Linked DNA regions of Cricetulus griseus. The protein of the gene in region 1 purifies or fractionates together with the protein of each later gene. This does not show direct contact. Links are inferred from orthologs where the notes say so. Each region holds a gene or a part of one and is shown in the gene's direction. Other genes may lie near its edges. The genes, in order: Spsb2 and Rnf7.

Region 1 (6,538 bases):
CCCTGTCCTGTGTAGAAGACAGTCTCTCAGCAGATGTCCTGGTCCCCAAGTTAAACGTGTCTAAACCTTCTATATGAGTCTGTGAAAAGTGGAATCATTTGTTGTGAGAATAAAAGAAGGTCCAGTTTTATAACAGACATATTGAACATGAACGAACTCAACAATGGTCTGAATAATTGGGCAGAATTTGACACCAATATACATTAACACACACACACACACACACACACACACACACACACACACACACGATGGTTCACTTGGTAAAGGCCTCTGGGACTCACATGTGGAAGCAGAGAACAGATGCCTGAAAGTCGTCCTGTGACCTCCACACACACTGCCAACTGTGTTACACAGAGTCACATTCACACAAAAATAAATGTAATTTTACAAAGCAAACAACACTGAAACCCAAACCAACCAAAATCCAAAGCCGTTAAGATTTATGGCATCTATTGCTGGAAGACACGAACCAGAAATGCTCAGCAGTGCATACGAGGCTACATAAAAGTCAAGAACGCACTCTGATTCAGGGTGAGCCTGTGGCTCAGTAGTAGAGTATGGGCATGAGGCTATGGATAGATCCCCCAGGACTAACAGAATGAAACAAAACGGGAGGTTTTGTCTTCAGGCTGGAGAGGTGGCTCCAAGATTAAACCATCTGCAAGAGCCCTTGGCATTCTTGCAGAGGCCAGTGTTTGGTTCTAGCACCCACACAGTAGTTCGAAACTGTAACTCCAGTTCCAGAGGCTTATGTGTCCTTCTCTGGCTTCCTTGGACGCCGAGAAAGGGCATGTTACACAGACATACATGCCTGCATGCACTCAGAAAGTGAGTTTTTTTCCCTCTTAAGGTTCTGTCTTAAGTTGCAATTCAAACCTCCTACTAGAGGAGATAGCCTTTTGATGGAAGGAGTTCAAGACTAGCCAAGGATGGACTCACAGTTTTAGAAATGACTTCAACCTGCAAAACATGCAGACTATGAATAAGGCTGTGTCTGGGGGAAGGGGCAACAAATGCACCTAGTTCATTAGTGTCACTGGCAAAAGCACTGTCTTCCAGAATGAGGTATCTTCCAGGGGAAAATGCCCAACTGTGTTTCTGTTTCCCAACTAGAAACTTTAAGCCTTGGTTGGAAAGCAACTAATGACCTTTCATCTTCTTCCAGACCCATTGGCAGTGCGTTCTACAGAGCTACAAATCCTGATTCCCCTTCAAAAAAGATTTTTAAATTATGTTCATGGATGTCATACCCTTTGGAGTATCAGGGAAAGAGTAAGAAAAAGTATTCTGCAATGCCAGCAAAGTTTTTGTTTTTATTTTTACCCTTTTGGTGGTGGTCAAGCAAGTATGTGCACACACACAGAATTCACTGAGTAACACTGGAGGTATATCTCAATGGTAAAGCAATGCTTGCTTAGTATATAGGACTTCAATTTAATTTCTAGCACCCAAAAAGAAACAATCACATATAATAGGGCAACTTAGGGTAGCATATTATTACATCCAAACCTGTTTTTAAAAAGATTATTTTGTTTTGCCTGCTGGCATACACCAGCACTTGGGAAGCAGAGGCAGGCAAATCTCTGAGTTCAAGGCCAGCGTGGTCTACAAAGCAAGTTCCAGGACAGTCAGGGCTACACAGAGAAACCCTTTCTTGAAACAAACAAACAAACAAACAAACAATCCAAACTTTATTTTACATGTATATTATTTGTTTTCCATGAATGTGTCTGTGCCGCATTTGTGCAGAAGTCAGAAGAAAGCATTAAACTCCCTGGAACTAGATGGTCGTGAGCTGCCATATGGGTGCCGGAACATGAACTAAAAGCAACCAGTGCTCTTAACTACTGAGCCATCTCAGCAGGCCCACATCTGAATTTTAAAAAGTTAAAATTAGCCATGATGTGACTCATACCCCTATAATCCTAGTGCGTGAAGCCGAGCTAAGAGGAGCAGGAATTCAAGGCCTGCTCTTGGCTACATAGCCAATTTTGTCCTAGGATGGGCAACACGACACCTTTTCAAACCCAAACAAACAAACAAGAAGTTAGAAACAGGCCGGGCACGGTGGAATACTCCTTTAATTACAAAATTTAGGAGGTAGAGGCAGGCCGACCAATGCCCAGGCCGTTCTAAGCCAGTCAAGGCTACAGAGTGAGCCACCGTCGGGAACAAAAGTTAAAATTACCTGTAGCATTATGGGATATTTGAATTGTTATCAATAGACATTTGAGGAGGTCAAATGTCAACGGCAACCTCCCCCCACGATAATGCAGCTAGTGATCTCCGTTCACTCAAAAGTAACCCTTGAAGCACACCCACTAAGCAGTCTCATTACCGAAGGAGGCTGGGGCAGGAGGATGACCGGCTACCGCTTCAGCAACATAGGAAACTCAGGGGGCAAACATAGCCCCTACGTTCTACGGAATGGGAGCAGTAGTTCCGGAAGGGTGTCAATGCCTCTCTGCCCCAAAGGGCCTGGGGGATGACTCGCCCAGGCAGCACAAAGGTCTCCAGTGGAGAACACGCTCCCCAGAGAATCCAAGGCGATGATGTCATCAAAGGGTTAATTCCAGCCGCGGACGCGGGGGAGGGGCTGGGGCGGGGCACACAGCTGTCAGGTGGCATCGCAAAGGTTAACTGCGGGGGGGAGGAGCCCCACGACGGGGAAGATCGAGTCCTGGGAGGGGACAAGAGGGCTGCCCGCCCGCCCAGAGTGGGCTCCACAAAACACGCGCGCCCGTCCACGACTGGCGTCACCGCAGATTCTTTGCCTCGATTCCTTGCAGCCAGTGAGGTTCCCGCGGGGGGCGTGGCGTGGCGTGGCGGGCGTGGTCTGGGCGGTGACGTGAGGGTCAACCACCTAAGAGCCTGGGGGCGGGGCCGGGTCGGGGGCGGGCCGGGCCGGGGGCGGGGCGCGGGCCGGCGTCCTGCATCCCCGCTGGAGCCGGAAGCAGTCGCGGGCCAGGGGCGCGAGCGCTCGCCCAGCCTACCCCTGTCTAGCCGGGCTTCGGCCGAGGTCCCTGCCGGCTGGCGAGCCCAGCGAGGTGCGGGGGAGAGGGCGAGCGTTAGGGACGGCAAGGGCGACGGTCCATGGTGAAGTCTGGGGCGGGGGGGTGAACTAGGGAGAAACTTGGGTGGGGGGAGCCCGGCGCAGATGGGGAGAAAGCAGGGTTGGGGGACCAAGAGCAGGCTGGTGGTCACACCCGGGTGAAGGGATGACGGAGGCGCTAGGGGAAGATGCTGCGCCTCACAGTCCCTTCTCTCCCCACACCGCTCCAGGGCACGATCGGGAGTCCAACTTTCAGAAGAGAGACTCCCCAGCAAGCCCGCTTGGAGGGTCCCCCCCGGCTGCTCACCTCATGGGCCAGACGGCCCTTGCAAGGGGCAGCAGCAGCACCCCCACCTCGCAGGCTCTGTACCCTGACTTCTCTCCTCCCGAGGGCCTGGAGGAGCTCCTGTCTGCTCCCCCTCCTGACCTAGGGGCCCAGCGACACCACGGCTGGAACCCCAAGGATTGCTCCGAGAACATCGACGTCAAGGAAGGGGGGCTGTGCTTTGAGCGGCGCCCCGTGGCCCAAAGCACTGATGGAGTCCGGGGAAAGAGGGGTTACTCGAGGGGCCTGCATGCCTGGGAGATCAGCTGGCCCCTGGAGCAGAGGGGCACACACGCCGTGGTGGGCGTGGCCACCGCCCTCGCCCCGCTGCAGGTCGACCACTATGCGGCGCTTTTGGGCAGCAACAGCGAGTCCTGGGGCTGGGATATTGGGCGGGGAAAATTGTATCATCAGAGTAAGGGCATTGAGGCCCCCCAGTACCCAGCTGGACCTCAGGGTGAGCAGCTAGTGGTGCCAGAGAGACTGTTGGTGGTTCTCGACATGGAGGAGGGGACTCTGGGCTACTCTGTTGGGGGCACCTACCTGGGACCGGCCTTCCGTGGACTGAAGGGCAGGACCCTCTATCCCTGTGTAAGCGCTGTTTGGGGCCAGTGCCAGGTCCGCATCCGCTACATGGGCCAAAGAAGAGGTGAGACCTGGAGTAGGTGTGGGGAGAGAATTACCACTCTGGGCAAATGGTTTGGGATGGAAACTCATGCTTGGCCCACAGGAAAGGGGGCTTCATATCACTTTGGCTTGCCACTTAGATGGCTTTGGCTCTAGCTTCGCTCCCGGGCCTTAACTGGATGTGTGATGCAGAAATTCTGAGCCTTAGATCTCCCTGAGCTGTGAGGCAGATGGAGGCAGAATTGGAGGAAAAGAATTGGGGAGCCTGAGTTTGAGGATGTCTGGCTGGAGTTGTGCCTCTACTGACCTTGCCTTCCTTTTCTCTCAGCCGAGGAACCACAATCCCTTCTGCATCTGAGTCGTCTGTGTGTGCGCCATGCGCTGGGAGATACCCGGCTTGGCCAAATATCCACTCTGCCTTTGCCCCCTGCCATGAAGCGCTACCTGCTCTACAAATGACCCTGAAGCACCAGATGGTACAGGCACCTGGTCATCCTCAGTACCGTGGGGACAGGTGGAGAGGCACCATCGATTGGCCTAGACAAAACCAGTGAAGCTGAGGGGAGAAGAGGCTGGACCCCTTCACTAACCCTTATAGAGGGGCGAGACGTGGAAGTGAAATTAAAGGCTGTGGCAGCCTGGTGCAAAAGATGTTTTTCAAGTAAAAACTGAGATGTATTGTCACAGCCTGTTTTGTTTTTGTTATGCCACTTTCCCCGTGAAAACATGCAATGAAGATGACAAACTACAAAGCTTGGGGCCAGGTGTTTATTTCCTTTACATGTAAGATGGTTCACAAACACAGTACTAGGGCTTCGGCATTGTGGGAGATGGGACACCCCTGGCCTCTCAGAGCAAGAGGACGTTGGCCTAAGTGTACACTGAGAAGGAAAAGGAAGGTGGTTTTACTCTCCTGCCCTGGTGAGGACCTGAAGGGACAGTCAGTTGCGCTTCTTCCGCTCCGCCAGCCAGGAAGCCACTTTGGTGAAATAGGTGACATTATTTCATTCATTGTAAGTGGTAAAGGGATTGGCCTGGTCCCAACCTTTATAGGGAGGTGTCAAAGGTGTAGGAAGGTACAGTGTGGATTAGCAAACAAGATGGGGCGATGACATCAGAAGCATGTGACTTGTGGGAGCAGTTCCTAAGCTCCTGGGCAACCTAATCCTGGCCTAGCGGAGGGTAGGGAAGATGCTGGTGTTTAACATTTGGCATTGATGATGTCCACAAACTCAGGCTTGAGGGAAGCACCACCCACAAGGAAGCCGTCCACATCAGGCTGGCTTGCCAGCTCTTTGCAGGTTGCTCCAGTCACAGAACCTGTAACATTAACAGGAAGATGGTTTGGTCAGGGATAGGATTAGTCCACGGAGGCCCCACCTCTCTGTGGGGCCTCAGTCTATCTTAGCCCACTTCCACCTTGGCTGGAGCCAAACCCCCTCACCTCCATAAATGATTCGGGTGCTTTGAGCCACTGCATCAGAGACATTGGATTTCAGCCATCCCCGAAGCTTCTCGTGTACTTCCTGGGCCTAGAAAGAAGAGGTACACTAAGTAAGACCTTTCCTGTTCATTCAAAGAGAACAAGCAACCCATTGGTGCTTGTATGGAGGGTTTAGTTTCTGGAAAAGTCTTGGGATCAGAATAGCAAGGCTCCAATCCCAGACAGGGAAAACATCCTTGGCAAGTCACTTTTTTTGTTGAGTTGGGGACGGGGGGGACGGGGGGATGGGGCTTCTCGGCAATTAGTTACCTGTTGAGGTGTTGCAGTCTTGCCAGTACCAATGGCCCATACAGGTTCATAGGCCAGGACAACTTTGTTCCAGTCCTTCACATTATCTGCAGGGTGAAGATCAGGGAGAAAACTGTGAAGAGGAAGGAGCTGCCCAGCTAAGCTCTCTAGGGTGTAACAGAAATGGCTTGCAATTCCTGGTGGGCTTTTTTTCTCCACCCATTTTTTTTTTTTAAACAATTTGTGTGTGTGTGCTCACGCGAGCGCTAAGGCAAACATACGGAGGACAGAGGACAACTTGCAGGAGTTGGTTCTCTCCTACCATGTGGGTTTGGAGGATCAAATAGGCTCTCAGGCTTGGCAATAAGCACCCTTACCCACAGAGCCATTTCACCAGCCCCTAGAGGCTTTTGAAGGTAGGGTTTCCACCTTCTGCAGAAACAGAAGTGACAAAGACTATGCAAGTTGCCCTCTCTTTTCCTGGCTCAACATATCAGGTAGGCTGCAGGGTTTTTGACCTCCCCACCCCATCTCTGTGGCCCTTGCTAGGCTCAAAGGTCCCTTTCTCCTGAGATACCTGCGATGGCCTTGGTTTGCTCGAAAACAACCTTGTCGGTGGTGCCGGCCTCCCTTTCATCTAGCTTCTCCCCAATGCAGGCGATCACTCCAAGGCCCTCGGATAGGGCATGGGCCACTTTCTGTCCAATCAACTGGCAAAGAACAAATACAGTGAGCCACCCGCCTCGGATGAAAGCATCTCCCAACTCCTCCTCTGCTTACTGACCTCATCGGACTCCCC
Region 2 (7,069 bases), on another chromosome or scaffold:
TTTTCTCTTTTTAGTTTTACGAGTCAGGGTTTCTCTGTGTAGCCCTGGCTGTCCTGGAACTAGCTCTATAGACCAGGCTGGCCTCGAATTCACAACAATCCACCTGCCTCTGCCTCCTGAGTGCTGGGATTAAAGGCGAGCACCATCACCACTGCCTGGCATAAATCAGTTTCTAAATTATGGGTTTCATTCTGTCCCTGATGCCACTAAATCACCAAGGTTTCACTGGTAGCATCATGACTAAGGAGGTCATTGCTGCTGGATACCCCCTTATCTGAAATGGCCTAAGACGAGGAAAAAGCTACCATGCCCAACTTTCTCAGTAATATCCAACTGTGATGAGCCTATCCATGTCAAGATGGTGGGGTCCCCTTGTGCTGGGCACCAACTTGATTGAGGGCTGATAACATCAAGAAGTGGAGGAATGAGCATCTGCAAAACTGATGAATGGGAAAATGCAAAAGTGGTTGGTTGTGAAAGTGTAGTAGGCTAAGGACTGTTGAAACAGACCTAAAATCATAGGCCCTAAAGCTTTTCAAACCTAGTGTGGTGGTATAGGCCTGTAATCCCAACACTGGAGAGGCAGGAGGATTGTTGCAAGTCCAAAGCAAGCCTCACCTATAGTGAGTCCAGGCCAAGCAGGGCTACACACCAAGACCCTTTCTGAACCGCAAGTCCCCATAGGAAAAAAAACAGAATTAAAATTGGCCCAGGGCATGGGTGATGGAATTGCCTGGTGCCAGTGGAGGAGGCTCCAGCACAGGAAGCTTCACAGGACTCATTGAGTCACCGTTCTTCACATTTCCTGACCTCTGCTTCATCAAGTTCAGAACTATAGCACTGCTACAGAATGGACAGAGAAAAAAAACAGGAGTTGTTCTCGCCCCGTTTGGCCAAACTGTAAATAAACCCATTTTCCTCCACCAGTTTCTGTTTCAAATTTTCTTTGGAAAATGAGGTAATAGATTTATGGGGTTCCATTTATCTTAAATTTCCTATAGCACCCTGTGGTGGTTAGTTTTTTGTCAATTTGACACAAGGGTCATCTTGGAGGAGGGAACCTCAATTGAGAAAATGCCTCCATTGATTGTAGGCAAGTCTGTGGGGGCATTTTCTTGACTAACTATTGGTATGGGAGAGCCCAGGCCACTGAGGGTGGTGGTGGATCTGGGCAGGTGGTCCTAACTTGAATAACTAAACCAAGGGCTCTCGCCAGTAAGCAGCATTCCTCCATGGTCCCTGCCTCAGTTGCTGCCTCCAGGTTCCTTCCCAACCTGAGTTCCCTCGGTGATGGACTGTAATCTAGATGTATGAACCAGTTCCTCCCAAAGTTGCTTTTGATCATGGTTTTCAAAGCAAACTAAGACATCCCCCCTTCACCTTTTCTTAACCTTCCTTTTCCTTATACAGCTGGTATACAAACTCTAAATCTAGACTGCCTTTTGTCTTTTCTGTGAATTCTACTTATACAAATAAAAACCCGCCTTTTCTCTTGCTAGCCTTCTTGTCTGTGTGACTCACAAGCCAACAAGAACTGAATTTAAGAGGGCTTGGAGAGTGTTTCCTCTTTAACCACAGGAAAGACTGTTTTCATAAAGATGAATGGCATGAAGGAATGAGAAAATGAGGACCAAAGAAATAAACAATGGAAACATTCACTTGTGATGGGAATAAGATTCTTCCCGAAGGGCTTAAACGTGTTTGCATTAAAGGGAAGTCTCTGAAGCAAACCCAAGCATCTTTTCAATGTTTGGAACAAAGACTCTCCTACAGAGGAGGAGAAGTGATCATAGTAATGCCATCCTGTCCTGACTGTATTCCCTTAGACAGTTCTCAGCCCTCTACCCAAACCCACTCCCACAATGGTCACATCTACCCTGCTGACACACTTGAATTTCCATGGCCTTGCCCATGGTCCAGATGTGTTAACCAAAATAATTGACATAAACTAGAATAATTGAAGAAGATCTAAGTCAAAAATAATTTTTGTGTTGTGTCTGAAGTAAACTTCTGCCAGGAATGAATGTTTCAAGGTTACTTTGTCATGTGAATTATGGTCTTTGTGATTTTTGCATTTAAAAACACTATAACCCTCCCTGAGCTTTGAGACCAAGTGACTCTAAGGCATGAGGTTAATCTTAATTGTAAGAGGGCCCCCAAGACCTTAGCACAACTGACTCCATGATGGAAGTACCATTCAGGCTACATAATGAGTCCTAGGCCAACTTGGTTTAAAAGATGAAACTGCCTCAAAGCAAGCAAATAAACGGATTTGGATTTCAGCTATCTTTTCCATAAACAAAAGCCTTTGCAGATCCCAATACCCACGGCTGGTGGTGCACACTTTTAATCTGAGCAGCAGAGGCAGATGGACCTCTGTGAATACAAAGCCAGCCTGGTTTAAACTGTGAGTTCCAGACCAGGTGGAGCTACATAGTGAGACCCTGTCTCAAAACAACAAACAAAAGCCCGGGGTGGTGGCCCACACCTTTAGTCCCAGGTTTGGGAGGCAGAGGCTGTCGGAACTCTCTGAGTTCTAGGCCAGCCTGGTCTACACAGCTAGTTCCAGGATGGCCAGGACTACACAGAGAGGCCCTGTGTGGGAAAACCAAAACAAGGCAACAATAAACAAAACCATGACGAAAAAGTTAAGGTCCTAATAAATTTGAAGTGTAAAGAAATCCAACAAATAAAGAAATAAAGAAATAAAGAAATCCAAGATGCGGGGCATAGGGGTACACACCCTTAATCCCAACACTCCGGAGGCAGAGACAAATGAGTCTGTGAGTTCAAGTCCAACCTAGTCTTCAGAGAGTTCCAGGCCAGCCAGGGTTACATAGTGAGAAAAACCTTATTAAAAATAAATAAATAAAAAAGCAGAAGGAAGATAAAGAGAAGAAAATGGAAGGAAGGAAAGAAAAAGAAAGAAATAGAAATCCAAGACTCCCATGCCCAAATTGAGACCCACTGAACCGGATTCCTGGATCTCTAAAGTCGTGACTTGTACCAAGTCACACACACCTCCTGTGGCCAGGCTTTTTGTAAGATATGGAGGTTACGGTGATGGAAGAGCCTTTTCTCCCTACTCTGATAGTTCACATTTCGGAGAGAGGAGTCTAATGAAGGCAGAAACAAGGTGATTTCCGAGAGCTCCGGGTTTGGTAAAGAAGGACGCAGGGCAAGGCTCTCTCACTGTCCTCTGCCAGCTCTGCAGTAAACGCCCGAGGCCACCACGGACGATCAGCAGGCCCCGCCCCTCCCGCGTGACGTCAGCGGGCCGCGCCAGGCCATCAGCGCCGCCTTCCTCTGGCTGCGCGGCGGGACCTGCGGGAGGCGCTGTGGCGTGCATTTGGGCCCTAGTGAGCCGCCATACCTCCCGCCTCAGCGCCCAACGTCCGCGTCGCCGTTCTGCGCCGCCGCCATGGCCGACGTGGAGGAGGGCGAGGAAACCTGCGTCTTGTCCTCACACAGCGGGACTGCGGGCTCCAAGTCGGGGGGCGACAAGATGTTCTCCCTCAAGAAGTGGAACGCGGTAGCCATGTGGAGCTGGGACGTTGAGTGCGATACCTGCGCCATTTGCAGGGTCCAGGTGATGGGTAAGCAAAGCGCTGCACGCGAGGCCGGGGCCGTGACGCGGCCTGCTGGGCGAGCTTCGCGGGCGACGGGGGGGGGGGGGGGCGAGCTGCCCGCGCTGGGTGAGTCCTGCGGGGAGGGGCGGGGGGCGTGGCCGAGGAGACAGCTGGACCGTCTCTCGGAACCCGTGGGAACCTCCGGGGTTGTGTTGGTAGCCCAGCGGCCCGCAGACCTCACAGCCGAGCCCTCTCGTGGATCTAAGCGTTCATTTAATTAATTAACTAATTAATTGATTAGTTAATGATTTTGGGGGGGAGAGACGCTCATGTTTCCCAGGCTGGCTTGGAACTTGCCCATTTAGCCGAGGTTGGCCCTGAACTCCTGGTGCCCCTGCCCGCACCTTCCAAATTCTGGAGATGACGAGCCTGCGCCACCGTGCGGATCTTGTTTCATGGCTCTGTCGCCACCGAAATGATGCGCAGCCATTTGTATGGGTTCTCTGCAGCTATTTGGCTGGCTTTTAAAATTTACATTGACCGAGTCAGATAGAGCTCGCATGTCTTGAGGCGAGGGACAAAAGAGTATTTTAGATTTATGGGAATCCAAGGATAGAAAAGCCTTTGCTTGATTCAGAAACATGAAACTTAATTATGTCCCCTTCCCACCCTTTTGTGCCCTTTCGAAGAACCTTCTTTCATTAGTAGTCCATTTTTTTGTTTGCCTGTTTTTTCGAGACAGGGATCCTCTGTATTATTTTGGAGGCTGTCCTGGAACTTGCTCTGTAGACCAGGCTGACCTTGAACTCACAGAGATCCTCCTGCCTCTGCCTCCCAAGGTGTGCACCACCAACGCCTGGCCTCATTAGTAGTCCAACATTTTAGTATTTTGAACGAAAATGTTGGACCAAATGAAACGTATCAAAAAATCGTAATCTCGTTGAGTTTTACATAGTTTAAGAGCTCAGCCCACCTTGAAAAGAACCCTGTTTCTGTCAGTTTCTCTTGGGGGGGGGGGGGCCTGGTGGTTGTTGACAGGGTTTCTCTGTGCTGACCAGGCTGGTCTCAAACTCAGATAACCGCCTGCCTCTGCGTTTCTAGTGCTGGGATCAAAGGCGTGTGCCACCATCGCAGCTCTTATTTATTTCTCTTTTAGACTCATTCAGTCTTGTATAGTCCAGGGTGGCCTTGGACTCCAGATCTTCCTGCTTCCTCCCAAGCGATGAAATTTGTAGAAATGTCTGTGGCATGATGGGGATTGAATTCCTTCAGGCTAGGCAAACTACCAACTGAGCTGCATCCCAGCTTAACATAGGTTTCCAAAGTGTCGGTTAACACCTGTAATGCTCTGGAGGCCGAAGCAGGAGAGTTTGAGACCAGCTTCCAGCAAAAACAAAAAAACAAAAAACCAGGGGCTGGAGAGATGTTTCCGAAGAGTGAAGATTGTCCATACAGATTTCCCACACCCACATGGCAGTTCACAACCCTCTGTAACTTCAGTTCCAGTTTATCCAACACTATTCTGGCTTCAGAGGGCACTAGACACATACGGTGCATAAATGTATGCAAGTAACATAAATTATGTGAGAGTTTATTAAATTGCTGTGGGCTGCAGAGATGGCTCAGTGGTTAAGAGCATTGACTGCTCTTCCAATTCCAGGGAATTGGACTTGAGTTTAATTCCCAGCACCCACATGGTGGCTCACAACCATTTGTAATGCCAGTCTTAGAGACCTGAGGCCCTTCTCTGTGGGCATTGCATAAACATGGTACACAGACACACAGGCAGGCACAACATGCATACACATAAACTATTAACTGGGAGTTGGTGGTGCGGGCCTTTAGTCCCACCACTCGGGAGGTGAGGCAGGATCTCTGCCTTCGACAATTCTAGCATTAGAGTTCAGAGACCACCAGAGCTGGAGCCAGGCACAGGTGTGTCATGTGCTTGAGCCAGTGTGAGAAGAGGGAGGGAGTAGTTTCAATCCACACTAGATGTTTATTTTTATTATTATTTTTTTTAACCTTTTGAATGCCTCTAGCCCTGGTACTAGCAACACATTGTAACAAAGCTAGTTGTGAACTCACAGGGGTCCTCCTGCCTCGGCCTCTTTCTTTCTGGATCTGGAGAAATGGCTCAGTGGTGAAGAGCACATACTGCTCTTAACATACTTAGCACCAAAGTTGTGCAACTCACAAACTGCTAGTAACTCCAGCTCCATCGGTATCCAGAACCTCAAGGGCACTTGCATGTATATACCCACATTTAGGCACACATACATAATTAAAAACAAGCCTTTTCTGTCAGTGTGAGCCTCCTTTTACCTGATTTGCACTGCTTATACATTTAAAGAATGAATCAGTTTCATTGGTCCCTAAAGTATTGTACAGATTGAATTTTAGAAACTTGTAGCATACTCTTAGGTTTCCATTTCTAGTGTTTACACTTAAGTAATTTATTTAAGTACTTTGGCATTGTGTGAATACATTGAGGATTGGGGGTTCGGGCCTTCCTAGGCTACATAGTTTGAGGCCAGCCTGAGCAACATGAAACCCAGTCTCAAAACAAAGGAAAGGAATTTTGCTTACAAAAAAAAAAAGAAAAAAGAAAAGAAAAAAAAAAAACCGGCACATGCCTGTAATCCCAAACTTTGAGTAGAGGCAGGATTTTAAGGTCATCGTCTGCAGTGTGGCAGTTCAGGTTAGGGCTAGCAGGGGCTGTGTGAGACCCTATCTCCAAAACAAAAACCTTTATTGATTCCTCAGCGGATTCTAGATCTTTATGTGTGTATGAACAAATAATGAATGAGTATAATCACAATTGTGTCTAACGGTTGGTCTGTGTGAGTGAGCAAGCTGGTGAGCTTACAATAATTTGTTATGGTATAGTTGGCATCTTTGAGTGACTTTCTCTAATGCCACTGCCAAACTATCCTGACATATGAACTTGTAAAAATCATCATTAGCCCTTGTGAAACATTGGTCATAAGTGAATTAGTAGAATGCCATGTATTTTATTTCTCTTTAAGTAGTTATTTTTAGATGAGAAACTAATAATACGAGACTCTTATCTTCATCTCTGATCCTCGGGGCTTTTGTTTGACTTTGAAGATCTGGGTTTCCAGTGTTGCCTCCTGTACCTCAGATGAGATTTGCTTTGTTTGCTTTTAGATGCCTGCCTCAGATGTCAAGCCGAAAACAAACAAGAGGACTGTGTTGGTATGTGGTAATTCTTCCTCCTGCCTTTTCAATTGGAGGTTTTCTTCCATCTCTGTGGGAATATTTGAATTTAGAATTAAAATTGACTTTATTAAACTGGCCTCGATAACCCAGGCCTGTAAACCCAGAACTGGGAAGGCTGAGGCCAGCTTTCGCTATGTAGTGAGATCTGTTTTCCAAAAAAGAAAAGAAAGAAATGGCTTTGTCAGTACATAAAAAACCATAAAGCAGTAATTAATTATTATTACACATACTCAGACATTTTAGAGGCTGGTAAGATG

What was found.
Region 2: the proteins of Spsb2 (region 1) and Rnf7 purify together in Homo sapiens (co-immunoprecipitation; 3 studies listed by BioGRID and IntAct, with this or other methods). This does not show direct contact. The link is inferred for Cricetulus griseus from reciprocal best matches to the Homo sapiens genes SPSB2 and RNF7.

The regions. Positions count from the first base shown.
Region 1 is NC_048601.1:21,605,122-21,611,659, reverse strand, and holds Spsb2 (SPRY domain-containing SOCS box protein 2), read left to right. Parts: upstream 1-2,929; 5' UTR 2,930-3,050; exon of another isoform or gene 3,051-3,099; intron 3,100-3,285; 5' UTR 3,286-3,365; coding exon 3,366-4,029; intron 4,030-4,335; coding exon 4,336-4,466; 3' UTR 4,467-4,691; downstream 4,692-6,538. Other genes in the region: Tpi1 (triosephosphate isomerase), read right to left, coding at 5,209-5,327, 5,452-5,539, 5,761-5,846, 6,317-6,449, 6,524-6,538. UniProt on the Homo sapiens protein: Substrate recognition component of a SCF-like ECS (Elongin BC-CUL2/5-SOCS-box protein) E3 ubiquitin-protein ligase complex which mediates the ubiquitination and subsequent proteasomal degradation of target proteins.
Region 2 is NC_048597.1:205,069,744-205,076,812, reverse strand, and holds the start of Rnf7 (RING-box protein 2), read left to right. Parts: upstream 1-3,327; 5' UTR 3,328-3,421; coding exon 3,422-3,596; intron 3,597-6,740; coding exon 6,741-6,788; intron 6,789-7,069. UniProt on the Homo sapiens protein: Catalytic component of multiple cullin-5-RING E3 ubiquitin-protein ligase complexes (ECS complexes), which mediate the ubiquitination and subsequent proteasomal degradation of target proteins.